Drosophila melanogaster: one gene and its partner. The protein of the gene in region 1 interacts with the protein of each later gene in a pairwise test. Each region holds a gene or a part of one and is shown in the gene's direction. Other genes may lie near its edges. The genes, in order: PNUTS and Spx.

The links.
Region 2: the proteins of PNUTS (region 1) and Spx interact in a two-hybrid assay, tested with the Drosophila melanogaster proteins (one large-scale study listed by BioGRID).

Annotation. Positions count from the first base shown.
Region 1 is NT_033779.5:868,461-876,732, forward strand, and holds the start of PNUTS (phosphatase 1 nuclear targeting subunit), read left to right. Parts: upstream 1-2,004; 5' UTR 2,005-2,092; exon of another isoform or gene 2,093-2,880; 5' UTR 2,881-3,113; coding exon 3,114-3,116; intron 3,117-3,180; coding exon 3,181-3,278; intron 3,279-3,345; coding exon 3,346-3,620; intron 3,621-3,747; coding exon 3,748-5,079; coding exon of another isoform or gene 5,080-5,258; exon of another isoform or gene 5,259-5,689; intron 5,690-6,577; coding exon 6,578-8,272. Other genes in the region: dbe (dribble), read right to left, coding at 279-1,316.
Region 2 is NC_004354.4:6,253,549-6,258,105, forward strand, and holds Spx (spliceosomal protein on the X), read left to right. Parts: upstream 1-2,273; 5' UTR 2,274-2,362; coding exon 2,363-2,396; intron 2,397-2,470; coding exon 2,471-2,554; intron 2,555-2,612; coding exon 2,613-3,538; 3' UTR 3,539-4,048; downstream 4,049-4,557. Other genes in the region: Rbcn-3A (Rabconnectin-3A), read right to left, coding at 1,714-1,800.

The DNA of each region.
Region 1 (8,272 bases):
ACACTAGCGGGCACCGCAATAGAATCAAAATTATTGTATAAGTATTTAATTTAATTTTATTACAAGTATAAGGTATTCAGCATGTTATATGCTGAATTAGCATTATGTATCCATTGCATTTTTGGAGATTGGCTTTTAAAAACAACTAGAATTAATACGAGTTCGTCCCCACAAACTTTTCATCCCATTAGTAAACCTTAAGATTTCTATTTACACGTTGCTCAGAAAATCAATTTTTATTGAATAGGTCCTACTACTAATTAAAACTAGGAAAACTATCAGCTGCTCCTCGCCTTCTTGTTGGCCTTGATCAGCTTGGCCTTCAGGGCCTTCACGTCCACCTTGCTGGAGGAGGAGCCATCCTCCTTCTTCCGACTTGAAGCAGCTGACTCCTCCGTGGGCGGGACAAAGTCCTTGTTTCGGCGTTCGTCCTGGCGCTTGGCCGCCTCCTTCTGCTTTTCGGTGCGCTCCTGGTTGCGCTTCGCTTGCTTCTGCTCCTGGTTGAGGAAGTACTCTCCGCTGGCCAGCTGCTTGTCCACCTTGCTCTCCGGCTGGCTGGGCGGGAATGGGGTGTACTCCTTCTTTTGCTTCTTGACCTTCGGCTGCTTGCGTTTGCTAATGTTTTTGTTCTTGAACTTGGGCAGGAATCGGGACCAGTCCTCGTTGGCCAGACGCGGATCCTTCATCAGCTCCCGCTTGATCATCAGAGCCTTAATGTTGTATATGGGGTGCACATTGTTCATGGTCTCCAGGACTATATCCCGCACCTGCTGAAGGCCCTTGTAAGGACCCAAGGCGGAGACTGTGTTTCCTTGAACCAAAACGTAGCAATCGGTGAGCAGTTCAATGGACTTAAGGGTGGCGCCGTTAGGTCCGATCAAACGCTGTCGCCGCTTCACGAACTTCTCCTTCTTGTGCACAAGGTTTCCGATTTTGATGATGTCACACCCAATGTCGTCCTGCAGGACCCGCTTGGCCTGCTCGAAGGGAACACTTCTGGCCATCAGCTTGATCATATCCCGCGCCTTGATGATGATGTAGGGATCCCAGGTCTTGCGACTGGTCTTCACCACCATGCTCCCCTCCATCAAATCTAGCTCCGCCTTCAGGTGGTGCTCCGCCAAGCACTGCTCCACCAGAGGCCAAACCTCCTTAAGATAGCGCTCCCGATATTTGGGAAACAGCGTGGCGAAGGAGCTCTCCTCCACCATCCCATGCGGGTTGTCCTCCTGCCTGAAGGCAGGGATCTTCATGGACCACGCATTGTCCACCGGCTCGGTGCTGATTTTGGTCTCCTCCGCTTCACTTTCGCTCATCGTTACTCGAGTTTTCAGAAGCTAATTCTACAGGTAAGATTCTTGCACGCTTGTTTTGGCCAGGCTGCCAGATCAGCGGTAAATGCGTGTGACCATATCAGGGAAAACTGGTTGGTTAATATTATTGATAGATTACCTATTTAAAGGTTTATTTTTATCTTGATTATAAAATAAATTTTTCGATTGAGAATGTTTTAAAATATATATTCAAATACAATTATATTTGATCGTGTGCCAGATAAATGCCTTAACAAAATTGCGATTCCAATGTAACTCAAATATTAAGGATATTGGGTACATCAATACTAATAAAATATGCAATTCTGAATATCTAAAATATAAGAAATAAGTCAAACAATACATGATTTAGCCCTGACACCTTCACAAATTTTATTTAATTGAAAAAGAGCTCAGGGTATCTATAACTTATGCCATTATATGTGTTAGAATAATTAAGATGAATTAAAATCTTAATTCAATAAATTTCTTTTTATAGCATTCGCTATTATCCACCGTGGATAGTTTTTGAAACTGTTAACGGGAAACTAAATCCATTTATATTAAAAGTGTTTTTAAGTAAATAATTATTGTTTGTACTTTCAAAATAGGGGTATTAATTAGATTACCATATTCCGACTATGCGTTTTGGTATTTTCTAAACAAACTTTTATTTTCAAGCAAGGAAAGGTCACACGATTTTGTGAGCCTAAGCAAAGCGCACGCAGGAGTTTTCGGAGAGATAGAAAAATCGTCGCCAATTAAATATTTAACAAATTGTAAGGCCGATAAACAATTGTACATTTAATATATATTTTCTGGAAGGCTTATTACCGATTTGCTCGACCTAAGTGTGCGGACCTAACCGCATGTCCAATTTTGGGGCGTGGACGTGAACGAAAGCCGATAATTAGGATTAAACAAAGAAAAATCAATATAAAGTGGCCGATATTGTTGAAGTTGCTATTAAAAGACAATTTTCTAGCATTTCCCTTGGCTGCGGATTTAATTACGCCTTTGTGAAAAATTGTGAAAATCAAAATGGCGTCATTGTTGTGTGCGTGGCAAGGCGCTGCCAACCTGCTTTAACAGAAAAACTAAGTAACTTTCACATTTTGCTTGTACCTAAAGTCAAATTTGGGTTGTAACCAAAAACGAGGTAGAGAGACATTTGTGCTACAAACGTTCAGACGAACGCATGTTTTCGTATCAATACCAATACGTCGTAATATATAATTTTCGGTTTTCTGAGAGTGGACAGCCTTCAGGGCTGCACTGGCTTATCGATTACCGATAGCCGCGAGCACACGTCCGAATTTCATCAGTGCCTGAAAAAATCGCAACGCGTAAAACACGTTTTCTGCAGCTCCAAAACAAAAAACAAAACATTCAAGCGGAGGGATTATTGGTTTACTGCCAGTTGAGACAATAAAATAACAGCATTTATCATATTTTGGCGCTGCTGCTGGAATTTATTTAATACTCGTCTTAAAAGTGAATTGTAGGGATATAGCAAAATTTTATCCTGCTAAATTTGTTCTCAGACTGGTGTTTTCTCCTATTTTAGATACTATTGCAGTCCTTGAAAAAGCGAATTCTTATGGAATTACGTAATCAGTGGAAATTTAGTATCTATTAAGACACCCATACCAACAAAAGCGAGTGTCGGTGCACACACGCACGATCCAACACACGCGCACACGTTGCGTATGGTCACACCTACAAGTGTGGAAGAGAGACGGCTATAGGGAGTTAGCGTTGCCAGATAAATTTTCTTCTTTCGCACGACTAACAAAGAAAATGGTGAGTTATATTGGCTAGGAAATGCAACAACAGTTGTGCTTTATTTAATGTTTTTATTCGACAGCCTCGTATAGTTCCACTGCAATTGCTGAGGTGCCTGCGGGTGCTTTTGGACAATAATGGTGGAATTTTAAGTGCAGTGGAGGTGAAACGCATTTCGGGGTAAGTTCACCACTTGTCAGCAGCGACACCTATCGGCGTTTGCTAATATCAAGTTTTTCGCCCACAGTTTGATGGCCAAGTATTCAAAAAAACTCGTCTCGAAATGTGTGTATGTACAAATTCTGAAATCCACAAAGACGGAACTATTGGGCGACTTTATGGCGGTGGGCGGTTGGTCGCTGGTCTACACCTGGTTAAATGATGCCATCAGGGCCATGAACTGGCCGCTGGTACAGGAGATCCTGGAACTGCTGCTCCTTTCTCCCGTGGATGTCAATCGCCTCAAGATAAACTCAGCACCTATTCTGGTCAAGGGGCTGTGCAAGGATGGCGGCAACGAAGGTAAGTTTTCTTTGATAAGTCTTACTCTAGTCGTAGATTAGTGTTTTTGGGTCATGTTTTGGGCTGTCCTTTATGCTTTTAATTACCTAGGGATTACTAATTGGCTTTTCTCGACCCCGTTTTCCAGGTGTACGCATTCTAGCCAAGCGTTTGGTAGAGCAGTGGCTGAAGATTGTGACGGAAAACACAAGCATGACGATCCAAGGTGCTGCGCCACATATTGCAGCCACTACTGCCTCTCAGGTTCCTGCATCCGTTTCTGGAGCTGGCTCCGCTTCAGTTCCGGACTCTGCCTCTTCTTCAGACAGCACTGATAGCGCCGGAGCACCTGTGACGTATACCATCACCTCGGCGGCCAACAGTAGCAATTCCAACAGCATTACCATCAAGTGGAAGCCTTTGTTGGACAACCCAGATGGTGGCGACGAAACGGATTCTGGCACACAATCGAAAGACAACGAGGTGGAACATCTGGAAAAGGGCTCCTCCGCAACCCACTTATTAGCAGATGCTAGTCTGGGGAAAAAGTCCGGGTTAGATGATAGTAGCTCCGCGGCGGAGGTTAAGTCTGGGGAGGACGTGGATAATAAGAAGCATAAGAGCTCAAAGAGCGACAAAAGTAAACGGTCCGAGAAGGAGCGCGAGAAGGATAGAAAGAAGGAAAGTTCAAGTCATAGGTCCTCCTCATCTAGCCATAAGTCGTCCTCTTCCTCGTCATCCTCCTCTTCGAAGAGCAGTTCTTCCAAGAGCTCCTCATCTTCTTCCTCTTCCCATCGCAGTTCTAGCGATAAATACCGCGATAAAGACAAGGCTCGCTCAAGTTCCGGCTCCTCCAGCTCGAGCAAGGACCGGGAGCGCAGCAGCGGTTCGTCTTCTTCTTCCTCGAATAAACACAAGTCCTCAAAGTCCTCCTCGTCGTCGTCGTCGTCGTCGTCGAGCAGCTCTGGTTCTAGTTCGTCCAAAGATCGCAAGTCGTCGTCGTCAACTTCGTCATCATCCTCATCCTCGAGGCAGGACAAGGACAAGGACAACAAGCTAATGCCTCCGCCAGCTGTGGCAGCATCAAATGCTGCAGGTACATCTCCTACAGCTTCGGCAAAGGAGAGCGACGCACAGAAGCCCAGATCGATTCCTATCATGTCCCGCAAGGCCTCCATTTCGATAGAAATTCGCCGGGACACCGAAAAGACGGCCACTGTAAAGACGTACCAGTCCAAATTCAGATCGCATGGCCTGACGGAAGAGGCTCCGCCTCCCCCATCTCGCAAGGGCCTAAAGAAGCCCACATCGTCGGCGGTTGCCGCTTCACCCGCTTTAATGGCAGTCCCGTCTTCACTGAAGCGACCATCGCCGCCACCCAGGGATTTGTCCACCGACAAGAAGGCCAAGATCGACATCAACAACGTCGCGGGACATGTGGAGAGGCCCGGAGCCGCCAAGCTGATAGCGCCCAAAAAGAGTAAGCAACAGATGCTAGAATCACTATTAATGCTCTTCTCTATTTTATTCCACAGCCCAAGAACTTTGGTGGCTTTTGCTTTTGTTTTCGATCGGAGTCGAATGTCGAACTCCGCCGTATTATTTGTTGATCTCCATTCCATTCTCAAGGTGTTTAATTTTGCTTGGGGCGGGTCTTAAATTGTAGAGCAGAAGTGGGGCCTTTTAGTGTGGGTACTTTGCATTATAATGTATCAATCGTGGCGGTGTTATCCCCGGATCGAGTTTGAACTGCAAGCTGCCCGAGTGTGAGTCTATGACCTCAATTCCGGATGACGGCGGATGAAGTTGAATGGAGTTGAATCCCGAAATCTGGGCACTGCGCATGCGCTGAGACCGAACGAAAACGAAATCTGAGGCACAGACGATGCCGCCGCCGCCGTCGTCGTCGTCGTTGTCGCTGCCTGATGTTAAGTATTCAAACCTCAAATCTTGAACGTATTTAGCTTAGCTTAGCTATAAGGTATGTAGATTCACTTGGCGAGCAGCCCACCTTAAAGACTTACAAATAAAATACGGTTTCCTCTAGAAAAATACGATTTTTCTATTGAATAAAAAAATGCATTGAGCGCAAAAGAAACGAAAACGAAAATATTGACTTAAGCTGGCGGTTCTATAAGTTGGTAGGTGGTTCGATCACCACCGTGGGCTTGAGTCCCAGCTGCTTTGCTTTGGCCTCGATTTTGCTGTCGTGCGTCACCGAGGGTCTCCACAATTGTTCGCCTCGCTAGAGCAGGCAACCCTAGTTTACCCACATCCTCGTCGTAGTGCGTCATCAGCGGATGCGTCACCTTGGCAGTAAGCTGCACGGTGCGCGTAATCTGATCGCAGTGTCGGGTTCCTTGGGTAGATTAGTGCTGAGGAAACCCAATGACACTTATCGATGTGCTGACATAAATATACTAAAAGCATCAAAGTTTAAAGAGGTTTAACTATTGCGTATAACTAGTAGTCTTAGCAATACACTTTTAATAAGCGTACTTCTCAAGTTTCAATCGCAATGAGAGCTTATAACTATTTTAATTATGATGATTAAACACTATTTGTGTTGAAAAACTAGTTAAATAAAAAAAAGTCGAATAATTACATTTTGACATTTATATATGAAATTATACCGAATAAAGTCGAGCAAGCCAAAACTTTTAAAGAACTTTTGGGGAAAATTCATGAATTGTTTAGTAGTTCTAGGTTTTGGTATATATTCGGTGCTTATTCCAGTAGAGAGACTCCCATTTCATTAATTATCGAAATGTGGGTAAACTTAATCAATCAATCATAAACACAACAAATGTGTGTGTCCAGATCAGATTGTTTCTTTCCATAACTTTTTTACTTCTAGCAATTTCCAGCAAAAGCAAAATCCACCAAAGCCAATGGGCCATTCAACGAAGGCCACTTAAACATTTTCTTAACTAAACCAATTACTGGAGCGATTACTTACTTTACCCTCATTTTTCCAGTTCAAACCCTGGTGGAGACCAACCTGTTCTCGGACGCCCTGGCCGCCTCCATCGAACCCAAAAAGGTGGTGAAGCGCAAGCGTACGTCTGCAACATCGCCCACGGACAAGGACGCGCCACTGGCGCCGCTTAAGTTCTACCAGGATACTCTGGACGAGTCGAAGAGCGAGGAGAAGTCGGACGACAGCAGCAAGGAAAACGATGATGCGCGCTCCTCGTCACCTGGCAAGGACACGGATGCCGATGACGACGACATTCCCCTTAAGAGGGTCAAGGAGGACATCGAGCAAAAGGTGCAGAAGGCGAAGGCTGCGGCAGGCGGAGAAGGCGGAGAAGCGGGTAACACCTCTGACAACGCTGAAGATCTTCCCGAGGAGCCCAAGAAGCCTGGACCTGGCTGTGGACCCGATGGACCACCGGGAGTGCTCACGCTGCACCGCCGCAAGGGCCCGAAAAAGAAGCTAACCTGGCAGTCAGAGGAAAAGCTCACCCAGATACGATACTTCGAGGTCGATCGCTCAGAGCGCGTAAATGTGATGAAGCAGACCTTCCTGGAAATGAAGAACATGGAGCGATTCAGCGAGCGGGACGCGCTGACCATTGCTCGGCGTGGATTCGACGATACCATGGAGCCGCAAATGGAGTGGCGGCCACTACTCGAAGTCGATAATGTGCCCGACCACCCGAACGGAAACCTCTCCAAGCAGCGCCAGGTGCAGATGGACAGGGAGGCCACCACTCTAAGAGCCCTGTACTTCTCGCCCGACATGATTCCCGACAGTCCTGCGGAGGCGGAACTGGAACCGCATTTTGCTCATGACATTCCCGTGATACCCATGGATGACCTGACGGGGAATCCGGATGCTGTCAACGACTACAGTGCCTTGGCGTGGCCGGAGCCCAAGAAATACGCGCCTAGCTCGGGAGTCGGAGCAAATATCAGCGGATCGGACATGGGCTTCAATGACAATATGTTGACCGGACTGGGAGCTGGACCGAACCTAATGCAAAATCCATTCGATCCGTTCATGGGAGGCATGCCTGCTCCCACGGGAATGCCACCCGGACCAAACATGATGCCAAATCAAGTGCCCAACGGAACGCCGCAAATCTGGCAGAACCAAATGGGTCCGGTAGGTGGGCCGCCCGGTGTACCGCCCATGATGAACGGACCCGGTGGCCCCGGAATGGATATGAGCAATATGAACATGAACAACATGCCACCGCAAAACTTTATGGGCAATCAGTTTGGAAGTCCAGTGTCTCCATTCGGAAGCGGCCCACCACCTGGATTCAATCAGTACCCGCCCATGATGATGAATGGACCAGGTCCGGGACCGGTAATGGGACCCAATGGTCCAGTGATGGGACCCAACGGCCCCATGATGAACGGCCCACCCAATGGACCCATGATGAACGGGCCGCCCAATGGAATGGGGCCAGGACTGATGATGGGCGGACCTAGGAATAACAACAACAACAACAACAGGAACAAAAACAACGGCGGCGGCATCTGGCGCAGCGGGGGCAACAACTTCCAGGAGAACTCCGGCGGCAACTGGCGCTCAGCAGGATCTGGCCCCAATCGAGGAGGTGGAGGAGGCAATGGCAACACCGGCGTCTGCAAGCAGTTCATGCGAGGACACTGCAACATGGGCAAGAACTGCAAGTATGTGCATCCGCAGAAGAAGCGCT
Region 2 (4,557 bases), on another chromosome or scaffold:
TATATTTAGCTTTTTGCTTTCCGGTTTTCCCATTGCTTTAAATGTCAGCTTATGATGGGTTTATGCGTTTAACTGAGAATATTACCCATTAAGTAAACACACCGATGATACTTTTCAATGGAGGGTTTTCCGAACTTTTCGCTTACCAACCCATTAGTGTTCCCGCGGATAAGATTACTTTATATAAAACTTTGTTACCTGCTGAAAATAAACAGTGATTTTTTTACGGTATCCTATTGTAGTATTGCTATACTATTAAAATTTGACTTTAAATGCGGTTTTAATGAGTTTATTATTTTTGGTTTCCCCTTCCAAACGCTAGGTGGCGCCAGGGGAGTGTGTTCGTGCCGATCATATACTAAATAAATATATGCATACACACATACATCCACACATATGCAAACACTCGAAATTAAACAAATTGAAATGATGGCAAATGATATGGCGCAAGGCGGTGGGCAGTGGGTGGGTGTTGGGTGGTTGGTGGTCGGTCTGTGAACGGGGGACTGTGTCAACGGCGGTGCTGATTACAGAATAGAATATAGTAGAATATAGAATATATATATAATGTACACATACGCCCCGTGGGGCCTCTCATTAGAATGGCAAAATGTGCACAGTAGTTAATTATGCTTCCTTGGGTTTTTGCAGGAAAACACAGACCTTGTTCTCTACATCGGATAAACATTCTGAGTAAACATATAGTACACATGTCTCAATGGGTGTAATGTTTATAAACTCGAAGTTGACATAGCGAAGTTTATAGTGAGCTCTTCAACTTTTTCCTGTTACCGTTAAAGGTTTTAGACACGAAAATGGCCAGATTGCTAAGAGTATTTGGTAGTATATAGTATAGGGATCGAATAAGGCACATTATAAATGCGTGCTCACGTTTTTTTATTATGGCCGTTTATAATTCCAATTTGCCATTGACGTGGGTTGGCGAAAGGGGTTGCGGGGCGGGGGGTGCTGCCATAGAGAAAGGGTTCGTGGGAAGGGGAAGGTGGGCAGCCTGCAAGCTGCGAAATTAGGGCATCAAAGGCCACCTGACCAATCGAAGGGTATACACACACACATACTCGCACTTATATATATATACATGCGTATATACTTTCAAGCACACACTCTCACTGCAACTGGCGCATGTGTGTGTGTGTGTGTGCGTGCGGCTTGTTTACTGCCAGCACTTGACCTTAAAAAAATAAAAATGTAATTAATTGCTGGCCAGGTATGTAAATGCAGGTGAAAACAAACATTGTGTTGTATTTGTTGTGCCACACAACATACACACACACACACTCGAGCTGCACACTTTGTTGTTATCGAATTTTTGCACAGCGCCAGCCAGCAAACACGAAAAGTTCTCTATCTCATCATTTGCATTTGATTTTTTAATTGACCACCAAGTGTGGCAAAAAAAAACGATATAAAATTCAACACACATTCACACACACCGCACACACGCACACCACACACACGCAAATATGTAAATAAAAACATTAAAGACGTGCTCCGATCGGTTCTTGTTGGAATGACGACGATGGTGATGATGATGCCCCGTTTCCAATTGGAAACGGTTCAACCTTTTGAACCAAGTGTGCGTGGGGGGGTTGGGGGGCGTGTCCGGCTGGTTGGGCCGATAATGGTGCACATTCCGCCACCGATTTTCACCCAATTCGATCCGGATTCGGATTGGGATGGCTCTGTGCTTACTGTAAATGGTATTCCTTCCACGGAGCCAATGGCGAAGCACCGGTCGCCTGCATTGCAAGCGCCGCTCAAAATCTGATGACAATTCATAATTTACACACAGTTGATTATCACATCACAGCGCACGGATATTGGGGTCTTGGTTCTTTGGTTTCTAGCACGAATTTTCCTTGCTTCTTGTAACAAACGACAACAAAGTGACATTACATAAAAATTAGAGTTGGGTTCTTGGCCAGCGCGGCCAATCGAACTATCGATATTAGGGATGGCACGGCATGGGAGGCGAAATATCGCCTGAGTAATTTAAATACGGTTACTCCAATTAACCGAAAAACTGTTTATCATTTAATTAAAATATTATTATTAAAATATTTCATTTTATTTTCAAAAAATAGAGGTGAATATTTTAACCTATTGAAATTATATTTAATTATTCTGCTTCGTCTATATTTAGTATTTTTTCTAATATCCGTTCGATTTGATTCGATTTCGATATCAATTTCGATTGCCAATAAAAACGAAATCGTGGAATATATATCGATTCATGGTATCGATAGGCTGTTTCGATATTCAGGGTTGTGTTGCGAGCATTTTTGCATGTTGAAAACGCCGAAAATTAGTTTTTGGTTTTGTTTATAAAAATAGCTCCGAAATGGCGGCAGGTCCAATTGCTGAACGCAACCAAGGTGGGTTTGACCTCCACTCCACATTTGCACCACTTGGGAGACGCTTTAACCCGCCTTTTCCGTTCCTTCCACAGATGCCACCATCTATGCCGGCGGTCTTGACGACAAGGTGTCGGAAACGCTGCTTTGGGAGCTGTTTGTCCAGGCAGGACCAGTGGGTAAGTCCCGGACACACATGTATAGTGCCTAGCAGCTCCCTAATCGTCATGCTTGCAGTGAACGTACACATGCCCAAGGATCGTGTCACCCAAATGCACCAGGGCTATGGATTCGTCGAGTTCCTCAGCGAGGAAGACGCCGACTATGGAATAAAGATCATGAACATGATCAAGCTTTACGGCAAGCCCATTCGCGTGAACAAGGCGTCGGCGCATCAGAAGAACCTGGACGTCGGCGCCAACATCTTCATTGGCAACCTAGACGTGGAAGTGGACGAGAAGCTGCTGTACGATACGTTCTCCGCCTTCGGCGTTATACTGCAGACGCCGAAGATCATGCGAGACCCAGAGACGGGCAAGTCTAAGAGCTTTGCGTTCATCAACTTTGCCAGCTTCGAGGCCAGCGATGCGGCCATGGACGCCATGAACGGCCAGTACCTGTGCAACCGTCCCATTTCCGTGTCCTATGCCTTCAAGAAGGATCACAAGGGCGAGCGTCACGGTTCGGCTGCGGAGCGCCTGTTGGCCGCCCAGAATCCATCGACCCATGCAGACCGGCCGCATCAATTGTTCGCCGATGCACCGGTGCAAACCATGATGCCCCAGATGCCGGGCCAGATCCCGGCCCAGATGCCGGGCCAGATGATGCCGCCACCCATGATGGCGCCGCCGCCGCCGGTGGTGCCCGTTTCGAATAACAATATGGGCATGCTAGCACCGCCGCCGCCCGTTCCCCAGCCTGCACCGTTCCCAGCTACGATACCGCCGCCTCCGTTGCCACCGATGACCGGCGGACAGCCGCCGCTGCCGCCAGCAATGGGCATTCCGCCGCCGCCTCGCATGATGCAACCAAATGCATGGGCACCGCCCGGCATGCCTGCTCCTCCGCCCAGACCACCGCCCACCAACTGGCGTCCGCCGCCCGTGCCCTTCCCACCCACGCCCTACGCACGGCCCTATCAACCCGACGGCTACCAGTACTAAGTCTAGCGTGTAGTGTATACCAATTTGGACGAGACGAGAAATAAACATCAATAGGATTCATCAATGAAGCCTGCTCTGGGATATGTTAAGATTTCCATTCTTCTTTCTAATATGCATTTAACAACCGGGAAACCACTGGGAGACATTTAGATCATCATTGTATTTCCATTTAGTAGTCGCAATACAATCTTCGAATTCTTACAAGACGAAATTAAATAACTTTGAATAGAATTTTGAAATGAACGAAATGATTTGATATAAATTGACTCTCGATTCTTGATTTTTTTTTAAACGGAACTATTTTCAATAAACATAAAACGTTTACATTAACAAGTCTGTAAGTTTAATTTGAATGGAACATACGAAGAAAGCGATAATTTTTTTTTGTAATTTAACTAAGTATTTTTAAAGGGCTCCCTCTAATTTAATGTCCAATCCTTTGAAGTTATGTATAGAAACTAGCTTGTAGTTCAAAATAAACTGAGGAATGATTTTCCATTTATTGAAATGAAACTAGGATTCTTTTTTAGCATTCCCAAAATGATGCCGTCCCGCTTTTTTTCGAAACACGTTTGTTTTTTGGTCTTGTAATTTGTTTAGCATAAATTTATTAATATGGGAAACATACAAGTACAGTATTTACAATAGTTTTGACTACTATTCATTTTTTACTCTTCGTCTATTGAATTCTTGCCTAAGCGATTTTGGTTTAGTCCCACTGTGCTAACTTCCATTTCGTTTGGTAAAATAACTTAACTTTAGCTTTACGTTTAAATGGTTATATTTAACGTTATTTTCTCCTTCGTCTCTTTGCTTTTGCTTTTGTTTTTTTTTTTTTTGGTTAAGCAAGACAAACAACAACAAAAAAAAAACTGTGAGGCATATAGTAATAGTAATAGTAATAGTAATAGTTTTAATCAATAACGATGTACAAGCGAATCGTTACGCATCAATTTTCTCGCATTTATTTAAATTTCTTTTGGTTTTCGATTTGTTTCTTTCTTTTTTGTTTACCTTAA